Drosophila melanogaster: one gene and its partners. The protein of the gene in region 2 interacts with the protein of the main gene of each other region in a pairwise test. Each region holds a gene or a part of one and is shown on either strand. Other genes may lie near its edges.

Region 1 (5,579 bases), 570 kb from region 2:
TAAGCTGACCATTGATCGATAGGAAAAACTCGATTTCAAACCAGATATTCGATAAATTTATCTTCACGAATAGTTCCCAATTTTAAACTAATACGCAAGTTACCGCTCAAGTAAAACTAAAAAATAGTTTCGTTTATTCATTTATCCAGTATTTCATACGATCAAAAATATTATAATGCATTGATACTTATGTGTAATAATTGTCTTATATCTTTATTACTCGTAACTCGTTTCGTTATTATAACAATGATCTATTTGATCAGGGCGACAAAATCGGAGATACGAGTTCCACACGCCGTCCCTCGTGATTTTTAAAGAAGTCGAAATTGCATCTTTGTATCATTTGAATTTTATTGAAAAGAAACGTAACGTTTCCACAAAAAATTGCTAAACGTTTCCTAAATATACATAGTTTAACTAAAAATATGACTACAATTTATTCAAAAAGTTCTTGCACATCTAAAACAAATGTTATTACATTTTAGTTTTGAGATATAGGCGTTTTGTTGGCCTTCTAGTGATTTCAGTGTTTTTATTATATTTTGGTACTAAGTCTTTCATTTGTTGCATATTAATTTTGACTTTTCTCTTTACGTGTTTTACATAATATATTTCATAAAATTCATTTGATGTCCTTTTTTTAACTAAATTGAGCTAAAATATATATTACAATTGCCTTTGTAACCTTTATGCCTTTGTGTAATTAAAAGTAATTTTTGGATGGTTCCATTTGTGTTTAGATGTATTTTACTCTGCGCCAAAAAGAAGCATTTGCAAGGGAAATTCTTAGGTTCTTTACTTTCAATTGTGGCTTTTAATTCATAATCAAGTCGCTTTCATTGCTGCTGTCTACATTTCATTACTTCAAGAATTCCATACATTTAACTTAGCATAGAGAAGTACACTAAATATTAGATTTATTTTACACATATATGCTTTTATATGAATGTGTATATCGTATGTACATAATTAATAGGCAACCACTTAAGCTTAATATAAAAATAAGTATTTTTCTGCAATATAAATTTGCCACACAATGTACTATAAACCGAAAACTGTACAGTATACAATATTCCTTCTCATCATCGGCATTCAGTTATCATTACCATTATCATTGTCAATCGGTTGAACAGCATTCCTAGCACATACACAGCGCATTTCCAAACCAAACTCAGCTTCAGCTACATATCTGCCAAGCAAGTCTTTGCGAACTTTATTAAAATGAGAAACGAGTAATTTTCGATTTCTAGCAAATAAGATAAAACGAAACGAAAAAGGCAAATGAGAACATTCTGTCTGTCTTTACATGCGCAATGTGGCTAATCGGTTCCTGCATGTACTGCTCGGCATTTAGATCTTTTAGGACTTAAGCTAGTTTGGTTTTGGATTTCGTATGCATGCTTATGCTGTGTGGGGTGCTACTAAAAACAATTAGTACACACTAGCTTCATTGCTGCTGCTTTAATGTTTGCGTGTTGTTGTCGTTGCTGCATCTGGTACCTCTGGCTTAGTACATTGACTTTCATGAGGCGTACATGCGGTTAATATCATGCTGATATCTGTCCTGGATATCCTTGCGCTTCAGCTTGAAGGCGGCGGTTACCAGCCCCATGTCCGGAGACCAGACCTCCTTACAAAGTGTGATGGCGGCGGGAACCTCATATTTTTGCAATTTACCTTTAAGATTAAACAATTTGCCATTAAAAACTTTGAAAAATACTCAAATCTGCATCGTAGCTTACATTTCCGCGCATGCTCAGCAATTTCCTTGAGAATAGCCTTCTCTATGATCGGTGATGAGCACAGCTCCTCAAAGGACTTATCACCCAGGCCATGTTTCTGTGCCAGCTCCTCCAAATGGTTTTGGTTGGGAACGACCAGCGCCACTGTGTACTGCTTTGTCGGATCTCCGTATACGCAAATGTTCTCGATGATTCCGCAAGTCTTAAGCTCAGATTCAACTTTGCCAAGGGAAACATACTCGCCGGCCTGCAGCTTAACCAGATCCTTCTTACGATCTGCAAAAAGCGTATTATAATAAAAAAAATGAAAGAAAAAGCACTGTGCTAAATAACTTACCAATAATCTTAAGTACGCCATCAGCTTGTATTTCGCCAATGTCGCCGGTTTTAAACCATCTCTGTCCATCCTCCTCAAAGAAATCCTCGTTGGTCTTGCCGGGCAACTTGTAGTATCCCTGGGAGACACACTCGCCACCAATGAGAACCTCACCCTGGGGATAAGGTTTATTTGTGACGCGGTAGTTGCCTTCTTCCCAGTTGACTAGACGGATGTCGCAGACAGTTAATGGTCCTCCAGTGCGTCCATAGGTCATATCACGGTCTTGTATTGGGTATAAAGTTATTTACTTGTTTTCAAAAGAAAGGTCGATCTGCGATCACTTACAGTCCATGACAGTGGCTCCAGACGTAGTTTCCGTAAGGCCATAGCCCTGAATCAGCTCCAAGCACAAGCAGGTCTTGATCTGCTCATGTGTATCTGCTGACAGAGGCGCTCCGCCAGACATGATAATGCGCACTTTGCCACCCATTAGCTTTGCCACCTTCTTGAACACCAGTCTGCAAGAAAAATAATAGTTTTAGTTAGCAACTCATGATATTTATGAGCACACCGTTCTTACTTATCAATCAGCGGCGTCTTGTACCCCCTCTGCACCCACTTGACTTTGTACTGGTAAAGGAATTTGAAGAGTGATTTCTTGAACGCCGAGCCAGAGTTAACCTTGTCGTTAATACCCTTGGAAATGCGATCCAATATCAGCGGCACCGAAGTCATGCAGGTGGGCTTCAGGACGGTGGCATCGCCCTTGCACCCGCGTTTGATCTTGCTGCTAGTGTCGATCAGAGTCAAGGGGGTCGAGTAGCCAATTGGAACGCCAGTCATGAGACACACACTTTCCGCAACCAATTCAAAAACGTGAGCCAGGGGCAGGAATCCGATCAGTACATCATCCGGATAGATAGGCACCATATCAACAAATCCCTTCATTGTCGCAATGCAGTTCTTGTGCGAGAGGAGGACACCCTTAGGTGTGCCAGTGGATCCGGAAGTGTACATGATAATGGCAATGTCATCTCCCTTGGGTGGAACGTGCTCTGTGGGATACAAAATAAAGTCAATTAGTACTAGTTTAATATTTAACAAATTCCTTGCGCATAGCACGCTATACATATGCTGTCAACATTTCAGTGCTGAATTAAAAGCGCATACTTTCGGTAAACAGAAAGAACTCTTTCCAAATTGTGTAGGGTGATTTTTTAGTTCAGACACCATTCGAAATGGCTGAAGTCCTAGAGGAATTCATCACCCTAACGCCCTTGACTTGTGTGCAACAATGCAATGCTTTACTAGGCTCAACATCAGGAAAGCCGAGAAGCTGCTCCGTATTTTTTACACTATTTGGCGTATACTGCGGCGTTCTCATCTTTCGGGCGTATCGCACATATTCCTCTAAGCAAGAAAGAGACGAGGAAAAGATAACCGAAGGAGTTACCCTTGAGGCTAAGGAGGAAGATTTGATCATAGGACCTGGTTCCAGTCTTGTGAACGAATATGTAGAACAAACGAAGCCGATTCTGTTGCAACCCGTCGGTTTTTCCAGTACTGACATGAGGTGAGAGTTGTAGATTAAAACACTGGATGACCCATCAACACATTCTGTCTCGATTAGATGGCGCTATTGCAACCACTTGCCGGAAGCAGAATTAGCACAAGGCTCTGATAGTGAAAACAGATCAACCGAAAGAGATGACATTGATAACCTCGAAAGGATGAGCAATGTTGTGGATGATAATGATGCGCAGAAGCCGGTTGCATCCACATCGATGGCAACGGCTCGGGCGCCTGAGGATAACGCCGATGGTGAACACGTCGAGCCCACACCATTTTCGGTGTGAAACACGATGCATTTTAGCAAATTTATCGTGTAATTGACATAAATAAATCATCTTTTAAGACCCTTTCAAAACGTACCAAATTTACTGTCCTGTCCTGTCTTGACAACTTGGTTAAACGGCAAGATCTTGACGCCCTCCTTGAAGCCAGTGGTTTCTGTCTTTTGCAGCTGATCCTCAATATAGATAATAGTCTTCACCAATGGGCATTTGTCGAGCAGCGTCTTAAACTTGGGCAGCAGATCATGGGAGGTGATAACCGTGGTGACTTCCGTTTCGGTGATGCCTGGCAACAGAGCAAAATATTATTTAAAAACCATACACATGGTAAGCCAATTTACTCACAATGAGCAACTCCATCATCGCCCAGCGTAGCATAGACAGTGACAATGGGCATAGCCTGCTTAAAGCATCCGTGGGCAGCTATCATCCATTCGGCTCGCGTTTCGGCAAAGATGACAATGTTCTCGCGTGGTTTCTGGCCAAGTTCTCGCAGACCGCGCCCGAAATTAGCCGCCGTGCGCTCCGCCTCGGTGAACGTCTTCCACTTGTAGTCACCGAGGTTGTACTTCTTGAAGACTCGACCGTTCTGCTGCACCTCATCCTCCTCGCTGAGGATCTGCCGGGTGCCCAGACAACGCTTCGACGTGTAAGTTTTGGCCACATAGTTGAATACCTTCTCCAGGGTATCGATATTCTCTTGCAGCATCTTCACGTGGACATCCCGTGGTGGATCCGTGGTCCGGTAGGTCAGCTCATTGTCATCATTCCGCACGATCTTTGCCTGGAAAATGAGCGAATTCGTGGCGATTAGTTTAACGTCGTGTTAGAGGTTGCGATTTAAAAAGAAACGCTAGATTAGGGGAGGGACCACAAAGTAGAATCGACAGAGAGATAACGGACATGTGAGTTTTCGAGGGTTTGTTGAGGTGAGGGCCGTAACTCGGGAGATCATGTTTCTTGGACCAACACCAAAAAGAGTCTCCAAAAAGGGGATTCAACTCTGGGTACGATCACCAACCAGTACCTGGAACATTCATTGTGCGTGTGTGGTGTTTGTGTGTTGTATGGGGGTGCCCCAATGTATGTGTGTGTGTGTGTGTGTGTGTGTTCGTGTAATGTGTGTATGTTCCATAACAGATAGTATTACTAAATAATAAAAAAACACATTTGCAAAAGTTAAACCTCAATGTCATCCGGCGCGTACTTGGACTCATCGACCAACATTTTCTGGTTAATGGGCTTGGCCTGTAGAGGAAGGAGGAGTTGAGATATGCGATGAGAAGCTAGTTAGCTGTGGTATTGCATAGAGTTACTGATTCCCGATTAAGGCATTCAACTCGTTTTACTTATTTTTTCTAAAGATTATGCAAACTGCACACAAATGAAAGCGATCTTAGATTCCGGCGTTGGCGTACCCTTACTAACCCATAAACCTTATCAGCCGACTGAAAAGGCCAACCAAAATGCGTTCCATTTAGATAGTGAAAAGTCAGATAAAAGTGTACCTCAGGTGGGACTTTTCCTAAACGAGTTATAGCTGGAAATATTTATGTTTTAGTTTGTTTCCTTTATTTAAGTGCCAATTTTATTTTTTTAGCATTGCTAGAATTTGAAACTATTTGAGTTTCGAGAAGAGACTGTGAGCAACGCAATGATCCAATT
Region 2 (5,871 bases):
TGAGTCCGGGAGTTGGGCACAACATTACTTGCACTGGCTGGGTTTTATTCTCGCCATAACCATTGCTCCATGGCAAATGGCCCATTGGAGCATTTATGGCCAAGTTCCATGCGTCGGCATTCCCCCGACTTTTTCATTCAATTGCTATATCTGGGCGGCTTTAATTAACAATGTTTTTATAAGCACTTTAACCAATACTTTTTTATATAGAGAAAAATGCTATGTGAAGTTCCTTGGAGATTCAAGCTATAAAGGTTAAAGTGTACACCTTTTCCCCCAATATAATTTTTGCATTTCCCTATCCTCTTCGAAAGCATTTACCCTCCAAAAACGCAGAAAAGCCACATGGACCACAATTGAAGGGTCGTTGTTGTGGCTCGTTGCTGCCACTTAACGTATTTGCCACGGATTCACCCACCTCCCCACCTGTTATGCCTGCACTGACCGCTGAACGCTGCAGGATGCAGTCGTTGAGGGAGCTTTAATCGACCAAACTGCCACTGCACCTGCGGGATCAATTGAGATTTATTACTGGGTCGTGTCATTTGTATTTCGCTTGGTTCCCACGGCTGCTTCTGCAATTGTGCACATTTTATGCTGCTGGTCAGCAATTAGACACTTATTTAATTTGCAGCGGGAATTTCCAGCTGGCACTTCGGATTTGCCCACTGACCCGACTAGTTGGGCGTTTTGGGCCAACAAGCCGACAGCTGTGGTTAACTTTGGCCAGCAGAGAATGCCAATGCTAATGCCAATATGCCCTTATTCCAACCGAAAAGTGGATCGCTAGCTCTTCAAGAACTTTTTGCCACCACATACTTTGCTCCCAATGACAAGCTGATGATTGTATAAAGCCAATATTTGTATCTAAATATCTGGTAGTGCAAAATAATTTGTAGCTGCGATTTGCGCAGATTGTGGTCGTGTTGGCTTCGCTCTTTAATGACATTTTGAGCGTCTTAATGACTTAATGGCCCTTTGGTCGTCAAAACGCTTTTGCCGCATCATTGGCAATGCAATTAACTCGAGCATTTGCTGGTGCCCGCTTTTTGTGTGCCAAGTGTCCTGGCGTAATTAGTTGGCCACTTCCGCTTCCACTTCCTTGCCGCCATCGCATCCGTGTCTGTCTGCGCGAGTCCTTTAATGGATTTCGCCTCTGACTGCGCGCGAAAATTCATTAAAACTCGATAATTGCATGACAAGACAAGATCCTGGAATTTGGCCATCGGGTGCGAGTCCTTGTTTATCCCTGGGCTCGCTATCTGGCAAATGGCATTAAGAACCAGTTGATTTACTTGCGATTGTTTTCCGCTTGGTGCACTGAGCAAAATAAGGAGCATAACATATTATCGAAGAGATCGATGTTAAGAAATCTCAGAATATTTATTGTATATTTGAATATCTAAAACCTGAATTACAACTTAAAGAATATATTATTTTGACATATGTTCAAAACAACAAGGAATTTATTTAAAGCAATAATTTCATTAAAACGAAGAGGAGATTATTTCATTTAAAACAATTGGATGTGTAGTTATTAAATCAGCTGCCAACCAAGCTGGCCAAAGTAAATATTCCTTTTGCGTGACTTACTATGCATATTGTATTATTCATTCTACCGAAATGAGGATTCGGTAAGCCATGTATTTGTTGCATCTGCCCATCGCACAGCCAGTAAGTAATTGTCTTGATTAAATAATTTAATCTGCTAAATGCAGGCATTTTAATCTAGAAAAGCTGCGACCATGTCAGGTGCACGCACTTCATTGGCACCCAGGAAATCATTGGTTATTAGCCTTCGGCCCGTCGGCATCGAATTGAGTTGGAATACCAGAGATGTAATTTCAGCCTGCGGTTGCAGGGCAGCAAATTGAATTTTGCTGTAAAGCCGCTCGTTGCCAGGAGGCAGGATAAACATGCTAAACGTATAAATTTTCAGCCTGATTGCATTCCAAAGTTTCGGGCCACTAGGACGGCATGCCAGAAACTATACACAAAAGATAATGCCGCTGCACAATTGGATTGCCAGCTGAGGGGGAGAATGCAGCACACAAACATTCATTTTCCACTCGACTGGAGTTGAGCGCGTTTCGCATTCGCATTCGCATTTGGTATTTCGCATTTCAGCAAAATTTCAATGCGACAGACAAGAGCGACCCAGACGGTATTGTTACGGTTACGCTTTAGGACCAGGACTAACCTGAACCTCCAATGAGTGACATTTATCTTGCGAGGACAACAAGGGGCGTCCTGTCGGAGCATTCATTTGCGTAATTAGTGGCCAAGTGGCATCCGCAACCTGGTTGCCAAATGCCAAATGCCATTTGGCTTCGGTCGCAGAGCAGAGGCCTCAAAATCACCGCAACTGCTGCTTGATTATTGGCCAGGACCAAAAGGAATGGCCAGCAGACAGGCGACGTCAGCACAATTGATAGCATACTTCTCAGGGCAGCGGCAGCTGAGGAGCAGCAAAGGTGAGTCCCTTGCCGAGCACTTGGCTCCACTGCACTCCTTAGCCACAATAGAATGTACCCACTTTGAATTTGTAGTAAACACGGAAGCACACTTTTGAATTTATAAACATATAATTAGCTACAAAAAAATTGCATTTAGTTGCTAAGCTTACCGCCAAGTAAAAATCATAAAATTTAAACTTTAGCAGTTATTGCCAATGTATCCAAAAATGTAATTCTCATATTTATCTCCTACATACAATATTTCAATTAAATAATTATAGTCGTCTAGTTATTGTACCTTATGTGCTCATGTTTTCGGGCTATATAAATCGCAGTTTTAAGCCAATAACATTTTCAGCAACGATTTCCCCTAGTGAATTAGGAAATAGTAATTGATTTTATGCGATTGATTCACTGCTGCACCAGTAAAAAGTATCTGCCTGAACTAAGGAAGTATAATTAAATTAGTTTTAAACTGGAAAGTAACCGAATCAACGTGGCAAGCAAGCGGAAAACTTCATTTGTAGCTGGGAATTGGCCACGTGGGTGGGCGGTGTTCCTTGGTTGGTTCGGGGGGGAGTGGGAAAAAGGAGAGCTACGTGAGAGTTACAAGGGCACGCACGCAGACACACGGGCACAGCGAAAAGCGAAAGCAGCGAGAGAGGAAAATCGGAGATGACGAAAAACAGCAACAGCAACGGCAATGGCAACAGCGACTAAGCAAAACATGGGCCAAACCAAAACAAAAACACACGATTTGCCGGCAAAATGCACGTGACACATCCTTTGGCGAGCTTCGTCGAGTGCGATCCTTCGTCGAGTGCCGAATGCAGCCGATTGCAGCCGAACGAAGCAGAGCCGAAGCTGCGCAGAATCCAACGAGAGGTATAAAAGCGAGACGCTCGCCGCACTCGTGGCATTCGATTGTCGTCGCTCGAGAGGATAGGTGCCCAGCTTCGAAAAGGATAAAACCCCGCAAAGGACTCTAAGTAAAAGTGAAACTTTAAAGCCAAAGAGCACACACACATACACATACACGCGCACACGTTGCATACAGTTTGGCGCGAGTGTGGGTTACTGCTGGCGGTACGCCAGTGTGTGTGTGTGAGTTGGCCAAGTGGATTTCTATTTTTGGCCCATTAAGAAGTCAACTCGTGAAGTGCAGTGGTGTTAAATTCGTTGCTATTTGAAAGGACTCATCGGGTTGCTTAACAAACGAAAACAAAACAACGCCGAAACTCTGGCAATCGCAATCTGATCCTTGGACATGTGGAGCAGGCAGCGAATGCGCCATAAGCCGCTTTGGGCCCTAATATCCTTGACCGTTTTGCTGCTGGTCCTGGACAAAAGCAATGCCAACACGGAGCCCGTCGAGACCAGCACCACATCCGAGCCAGGTGAGTCCTAATTGCCCCGCACACACGTGGGCTCCTCCGTTTGACCTTCACTCACTGGACGGACGAAAAGCGTAAATAAATTATGACGGGCCGCCTCGAACTCGGTCACTTTATTAAATGGCCTTCCACGCATCCATGGAAATCGGACAGTTCACAGCTTCCAGCTCCCAGCGATTATCACACACGCTCGAACAAAAAGGATATAAATCCGGAGTAGAAATGAATTCGTAACCGGGAGGGGAAGCTACAGAGCGCAAGAGCAAATAACTGGCAGCAAATGAAATATTTCACGGCATCTGCGGCACAAAGGCAATCAAAGCGAGCCGAGAGCCCATGGGCAACCTTAATCCCAATCAGAGTCAACAAACAAGCAAGGGCATCGCGAAAACGGGGCACTGCGGAAAATATTTGGCAACAAATTTTTAGGTTGCTTTTCATATTAAATTATAAAAGACATGCTTATAAGGTGCAAGGATAATGGCTTTTATTATGAATCATTCAAAGCAAGACATCATGAAGTCTTTAAAGTTAGTTTTCAAACGCAATCACAAACATTATTTTTCAGTAAGAATAAAGAAAAACATGATTGTCATGTATGACAAATCGAAATAAATTTTCGTATAGCATTCACATAAATATTTAAAATCATTATGTATTTCACACCTTGTAAAATAATTATTTAACCTTTATTTCGAGCGTATTATGATAATTTATTAGGTAAGAATTTAATGATAAATTTAGTTATTTTTGATCAAATATATTTTCAATTACATATGTATATTTATACATTATAAATTATGATTACTGAACATTTTGAACATGTGAAATCATTAATAAGGCGCAAACTTAATGCATACTTTTGATTGTTAGACCTTTGCTCCTAAATCTCAACGAAACTTAATTCCGCTGGCAGTCACCAATAATTTCTCTCAGTGCACTAGGGGAAGGGGAGCTGAAAGGTAGCTCGGGCAAGCGGCAATTGCACGAAAGTCCGTAATGAAGTATGGCAGGCAGGCCGTCCGAGGCTGGTAATAGAAATTAATAGCGTCATGTGTGAGTTTTGCGAAAGGGAAGGAAGACTTTGGACGGGGGAATGGGTGGATGTGGGGTACAAGGGACAAGGGAAGTGGGAAAAAGGATACAGGGGAAGTGTAAAGTGCCCGACAGCGACACGCAGATGCGCATAAAGTAATTAATTCACTCTGCCTCCATCGGCATCGCCATCGCCATCGCCATCCCTCCAGTCGGTTGCCTTCTAATTTCCCCTGGCAAATCGACAGGACCAGCTGTTGAGCTGCTGAGCTTTTGGGGTTTCGTCCTTCAGTCAGGCAAAAGTGCGTCGCACTTATCTTCTTTTTTTTTCTTTTGTGGCGGATATTGCGACTTCTTATTTCGCCTTTTGGTGCGCAGTTTGGCAGTCAGTCAGGTGAGAGGGGTGCCGATTCTTAGATTTTCTGAGATCCAAACGTTCGCTTGACACATGTGAAAGCGAGGGAAATTTAATTTACATGACTCACAAATGGAATCCATTTAATGTTGACTTATGGCGACGAAGCACTAGCGCACAGAGCACTAATGAAATATGCAGTAGCCGAGTAGCAGCTAAAACCAGAGCTGCCTTTCACCCATTTCCATGTGCTGTCCCATAAATCCTGGGTCCCCAGGATGGATGATGATGTTGGAACGAGTTGGGCGCACACTAAAAAATATGCGTTTACGATAATTATTTTCAATAGTAGAGTAGTAGTAAGCCACATATAAAAGAGAAGCTAACTAAAAATATCCCTTCGAAACATGATATAAATATTTCATAAAATAAATAGGAAGCCAAAGATAGATGGAACTTATTTCAGTGCACCACACACAGTGCATTTTGCGAGCCCATGGTCACCCATGTCTTTTTGCCACATTTTATGTGCTTAGAACAAAGCTGAGTCTGCATTATGCATGCAAATGGTATAACTGAGTAACGAACTGTCAAAATCGCAGTTAAAGCAAAAAGGAGTCGTTGGGAAAGG
Region 3 (5,871 bases), on a different chromosome or scaffold from region 2:
ACATAATAAATTGATTTAATATTGTATGAATGTATTTAATGCTTCTATGATTTATGTATATGTAGTGGCTATGCTGTTGCACCTACTAACTTTGTCAAGTTCTGTTACTTTTGATGTTTATTTTATTAGTTACTAACCTGGAAGTACACCGTATCTATCATCGATGGCTTTATCCCTGACAGAAACCCATCAAAAACTCTTATCCTATTCACTTCCTCTTACATTTCGTTTACTTAGCAAAGGAATTAATCGACATTTAGATGTTTACAATATAGAATTATGTACAAAACATAAGATAAGCGCTACACACGGTGATGGAAACAGAAGGTCAGGGAAGGGGCAGAGGATCGGGCCGCGGATTAGGATTGGCAAGGTCCAAAATGCTATGCCAGAGAGTCTTTAATGCAAAGTATAAAAAAATTCAATTACATCTAGTTGTGAGCCACGCGAGGAGATGCCGCAGCAGGAGGACAGAGCGGGAGCCGGGTTTCCGACTAACTGATCTCGTACTGATATGCATCGTCCGAGTCCTCGCCGCTGGATAAGTCCCGCTTACGGCGACGCTGCTCCCGCTTGCTGAGCTTCTTGGCGGCTGGCGCCACTTCCGGTTCTGGCGGCGCAAGGGGCTCCTCCTCGGGGAGCTCTTCCTCGATGGCGGCCGCATCCTCGTCCGGCTCGTTGGCCTCCTCCTCGGCCCGCTTCTGCGTCTTGACCAGCTCGCAGAGATACTTGTAGCGCACCAGGCACTCCTCCTTGGTCTTCTCCGGCACACTGTTGGCGATCTTCTGCCAACGGTCTCCGCCGGCCGTCTTCCGGTACTTGACTATCGCCGCCTCCAGGGCGCGCTGCTGCTCTTGCGTCCAGTTGGTCTCCGGAATTAGCATGCTCTTCTCGGCTGAAGCTCCTGCATTTGCGGCTGCCTTCTTCACTTTTTCCTTACGCTGCGCCTGCTGGGACTCCTGGACGAGAGCCTCGGCCACGCTGTCAGTTTGGCCGGGAATGCGGTAGCCATTCTCCTTCATCTTGGCCGCCATAAAGGTCACCTCCTGAACGCTGCGGTTCATCGACTCGGCGATAGTGTTCCAGCGGCTGCCAGCTCCGCCAGGATACTTTTTTACCAAGCGAATCAGCTCGGTAAGATCCTCGTCAGTCCAGAAGCCGCCGCTCACCGTGCTCTAAAAGTAAAAGCATGAAATTAGTAGGGTTTCGAATTTACTAGGGAACAGGAAACACTATACTGTCGGCTTTATACCTTCTGGGAAGCTGGACGAACTGCATCGTCATCTGTCAATTCGCGAGTCTGAATCTGCGAATAGCCGCGCAATTCTTCCTCGGTCTTCTCTGGAGCCTTGCTGTTCTGCTTGCGCTTCCGCAGATTCTCCTTGTGCTCCTTGCGAAGGCGCGCCTGCTCCTCGGCCTCCCGTTCCAGTTCCTCCTGACGACGGACGGCCTCCAGTTCCCTGTGGATGCAAATTGGGATGAATCAATTAGTTTCTTACTTCTTACTTTTGGATACCGTTCCCACACGATTTTTGTTAGCTTGTTAGCTATTCTACGCTAATCGAATTTTAGTACCTTATCTGTGGTCATATCAAGAATGCTCAGTTTCATTTGATTATCGTGCGACACAAAGACTGACAATATTCCTTCTTTGGAACCTATCTAATGGTGCAAGTCATCTTAAGGTGCACTCATGAGCACCTTTTTTGGAAAGCATAAAATGTGTTTGCATGGTGACATATCGTTTTCTTTCTTTGTTTCTTAATTGAATTGCCTATATTTAGAAGAATTGTTCTAGCTTGTGAATATAAAATGCTAACTAAAGGCTATGACCAAAATTTCAACTGAGAAATGAGAAACTAACCAACTTTTAATATTAAATGATATCACTCTGCATGCAATGAACATACAGAAACCACAGCGAATTAACGATAAGAGTGGCAATGTAAGTTATCAAAACCTGATGCAATACAAAACTAGAATTATATTCTTTTGTTGCTCTATATACTAAGATATTGAAGACTAAAGTAAGAGAGGTCTGCCAAAACTCCGAGCACAAGGTCGCAAAATAATAATCCTTCCGCTGCCAGGACCTCTCGATATAGAAACTTAATGAAATAGCAAAATCCTACAACTCCAAAATGACTACAATGGAACAAGGCGCTATAATAACGTAAAAACGTAAGGTAAGCAATAGAACCCTGCCACTTACTGCCTGCGCTTCTCCAGGGCGAGTTCCTTTAGCTCGTTGGCCTTGCTGAATCCGTTCTTGATGGTGCGCGGCAGGTTCCACAGGGCCAAGGGGATCTGGATGGGCAGGGTGTTGAGTAGCGAGGGCATCGGTATCTCGCTAAGGATCACGTCCATGTCGATGTTCTTGTTCTTCTTCTGCAGCTTCTTCAGCTTGGTGCCAAAGACCTGTTCGGCGGTGTACTTCTTCTCGAGGTAGGCCGCCCAGGCGAATAGATACTGGCCCACGGTGGTTATCAGGAAGAGGATAAAGGCGCCCTCATAGAGCCCGATCTTGCGCATACGTCGGTAATAGTAGAGGGCAGACTTCCAGTTGGGCATGCCCTCCTTCAGTACCCGGTCGTACTTCTCTCGGCGCGACGGATCTTTGAGAACCTCGTAGATGGAAACGAGGTTGCGGAACTGGATGTTGGCATCCTCGGCCGGATTCTTGTCCGGATGCAGGACAATGGACAGGGTGCGGAAGGCGCGCTTCACCTCGGCGCCCGTTGCCGTTTGGTTGATGCCCATGAACTCGTAGAAGTTGCGGTTTACCTCCTCGACCAAGTCAAAGATCTCCAGTTCCTCCGAGTGCCAGGCGCTGGCGCCAGTGGCGCAGAGCAGCAGGAGGCCGGCCAGCGTCAGCTCCGGTCGCATCATCATCGTGGTCCGAGTTCCGAATCCAGGTCAGGTCCAAATCGGAGTAAAATCCAAATTTAATGCGCCAGACCCACGCACGCACCACAAATACACACACACGCAAGCAAACACGGATAGGCTCAGCTGGAAAGTGGCAACGTCAGCAGACTGGTCGCTGGTGCGACAGCGTTGCCACCACTCGGTAAAGTTTGTGTAGACAAAAAGATATTTGCAACGTTTCTATTATTTATTTTTACGAATTTCTGTTTTTTTGTTCAAAAATAATTTACTGCACTAATTCTGTAACCATATATATGTAATCAAATTTTACAAATTTTTTTTTCCAACTAACGACACACAGTAGGTCAAACAGATTTCGTTTGTTTGCTCATTAAAATTTGCTCATAACATTTGTCAAGTTCTTCCTGAAAACAATAAAACAAATTCTCTTTCTATACCGAATTTTGTTTTAACTTGATACACGTTTTTCACCTGTTTCAAACCAAAACGCCCAACACTGTCGACTGTTATCGATAAGCTCTCGATGGTGCATCACTTGTGCAACTAAATGAATAGAAGCGACGCGACGTTTCACTCTTATAAGAATAAGAAATCAGACGACAATGAAGCTGCTCTATATGCTGTGGCTGCTGAGCATCTTGGTCCTGGTCTCAGGCCAGCAGAAGCAGACAGCTAACTCCGCCACCAAGGACGCCCCAGTGGTGGCCAATGCGACGAACGTGCTGCAGGCCAAAGTTATTCCAGGATCGAAATTGGAATCTGGATCTCCGGGAGCTGCCAGCCAGCTGGTGCCGGGTAAGGATGCAGCTGTGTTGCAACAGGACAAGAACTTAAACAAAACGGCCACAGCAGAAAATGCAGGTAAAGCCAAAAATCTCACAAACACCGATACAGGAGTGCCCACCATTCCTTTGGTCACTTCCAAGCCGGCTGTGGAGCAAAAGGCGGCCAAGGAGGCGACCAATACGACCTCCACTACAACTTCTTCCACCACGACCACCACCACCACGGCAAAGCCAGCTGCAGGATCAGCCATAGTCACCGAGGGCCAGTCCATGAAGGATGTCACCAAGCCGAGCAACTCGTCCACCAACGGCGCGGCAATATCCCCGACCAACAGCACCCACACCGCCACAGCCACCACCAAAACTGTCAATTCAACCATCATCGCAACCACGCCAAAGCCGAAGAAGCCCCCAGTGGTATTGAGCACTGATATACACCAGGAGGGGGAGGATATGGCGGAGCTGGAAAAGAGTCAGGATAAGCCAGGTACAAAGGGCGCTCCCACCCAGCCATTGGCCACACCACCAGAGCCATTGGTGCAGGGGCTTACTGGAAGTAATCTTGCCGATCACGGAGAGAACGGGTATGTGGTACCCATTGTTACCGTGCTGCTGACCGTTCCGCTGGCCATCGGCGTGGTGACCATCATGTACCGCCGCTTCCGCGACATGTGGAGCACCAGGCACTACCGTCGCATGGACTTCCTGGTGGACGGCATGTACAACGACTGACGAAGACGCGGACGACAGGCTGGCGGCAAGGGCGGCCACTTCACCGGGTGCTCCAACGCCTCCTCCGGCGCACTCGGATGATTATTAGTTGTTTAAGTTATACACGACTGGACGTGCTTGCATTCAATGCAAGATCGCCGGATCGAAAGCAGAGTGAGAGTAGCGGAGAGCAGAGGAGGCGGTGGGAAAACGAAACGAAACTATGATATTGCTCAGTCAATTAGAGGAGGAGGAGAAAGGGATTCGCTTTGCAGCGTGGCTAGGATACCCTTCCGAGCGGCCAAATTGAATTTAAAGCCAACTGATTTTCAACACTAAATTCGAGTGGACTCTTAAGTTTAAGCATTTGGATTATTGTCAAGCATTTGTTAGCAATCAAAAATTGATACCGGCACTTATATGTACCCTATATATACATATATCTACTTAGGCTGCTGCTGTACATCGAAGGCTGCGGACTCTCAACCATCAACCATCAACATCAACATCAGCGCAATTAGCAATCACTTGATGCATCCACAATCTAGCCGTAATGTGCCTTACGAACCAGCTCTATATACACCTTTACACATGATATTCTCCATCGCCGGGTCTTCGAGGTGATTTCTTCGCATTTACTTTACGCAACCAAGCAGCAGCACTCACTCAAAAAAAAAAACCAGCAGAAACCAAAAACACAAGCAATCGGCCTGAAACAAGCAAATTTATTGCATACCATGTGTATATACATAAATATGAATATATATATATATATATATACATATTTCTTATTGTTATTAATTTAACAACTACAATAAAGCAACAAGGCTAAAAAAAAAAAGATATATTTGGAAATGAAGTTTATTTATTAAGAGCCTCGGGCACTACTTGTGCCTCTATGATATCGTTTTTCCTCGTTTTAAAACAAAACTAATTGCTTATTCTGTAAAATGCAAACAACCGCAGTCTTGAATGTCACGCTAATTACTTGGTTTTGAATAATTCATTGAAATGTTAGCAATCAATTAAAAGGAAATTAGATAAAAACAGATATATATATGTGATATTTTAAATAACAAATAATACAGGATTGTAGTTAGTCGAATAGAACCCAAATTCAATTAATTCCTTAATAATTTTTTTCCAAACTCATTTTGGTAGTGTAAATCATGATTTATGCTTGCCAGCCCCGTTCAAATTCAAATATCATGCACTAAATCTTCTGGTTAACCCATTAATGTCTTCATTTATGCTTTATGGTTGGGAACACGCAATCGACTCCAGTGGCCAGATTTCCCTGGAGATTCGAGGCTACCAATTGATGTGCGTCCGGAGCTGTGACCTTTGGTGATAATAGATCACCAGCGCCTGTTCCTCGCGTCTTGATTTAGACAAATGGGGAACGAGGAACTGCCTCCATGCAGCCACCAACCCACCCACCTACAAATGGGCAACCTCCAACCAAGCTATGAAATAATGGAAGACA

What was found.
Region 1: the proteins of hig (region 2) and CG30355 interact in a two-hybrid assay, tested with the Drosophila melanogaster proteins (one large-scale study listed by BioGRID).
Region 3: the proteins of hig (region 2) and CG7556 interact in a two-hybrid assay, tested with the Drosophila melanogaster proteins (one large-scale study listed by BioGRID).

The regions. Positions count from the first base shown.
Region 1 is NT_033778.4:8,677,549-8,683,127, reverse strand, and holds CG30355 (uncharacterized protein), read left to right. Parts: upstream 1-3,174; 5' UTR 3,175-3,299; coding exon 3,300-3,634; intron 3,635-3,691; coding exon 3,692-3,917; 3' UTR 3,918-3,982; downstream 3,983-5,579. Other genes in the region: UQCR-11L (Ubiquinol-cytochrome c reductase 11 kDa subunit-like), read right to left, coding at 5,533-5,579; Acsl (Acyl-CoA synthetase long-chain), read right to left, coding at 1,523-1,677, 1,743-2,018, 2,080-2,343, 2,407-2,579, 2,642-3,116, 3,994-4,200, 4,260-4,698, 5,100-5,162.
Region 2 is NT_033778.4:9,244,747-9,250,617, reverse strand, and holds the start of hig (hikaru genki), read left to right. Parts: upstream 1-3,368; 5' UTR 3,369-3,723; coding exon 3,724-3,853; intron 3,854-5,871.
Region 3 is NC_004354.4:19,176,788-19,182,658, forward strand, and holds the start of CG7556 (uncharacterized protein), read right to left. Parts: upstream 3,044-5,871; 5' UTR 2,893-3,043; coding exon 2,213-2,892; intron 1,461-2,212; coding exon 1,253-1,460; intron 1,176-1,252; coding exon 495-1,175; 3' UTR 1-494. Other genes in the region: CG7453 (uncharacterized protein), read left to right, coding at 3,492-4,406.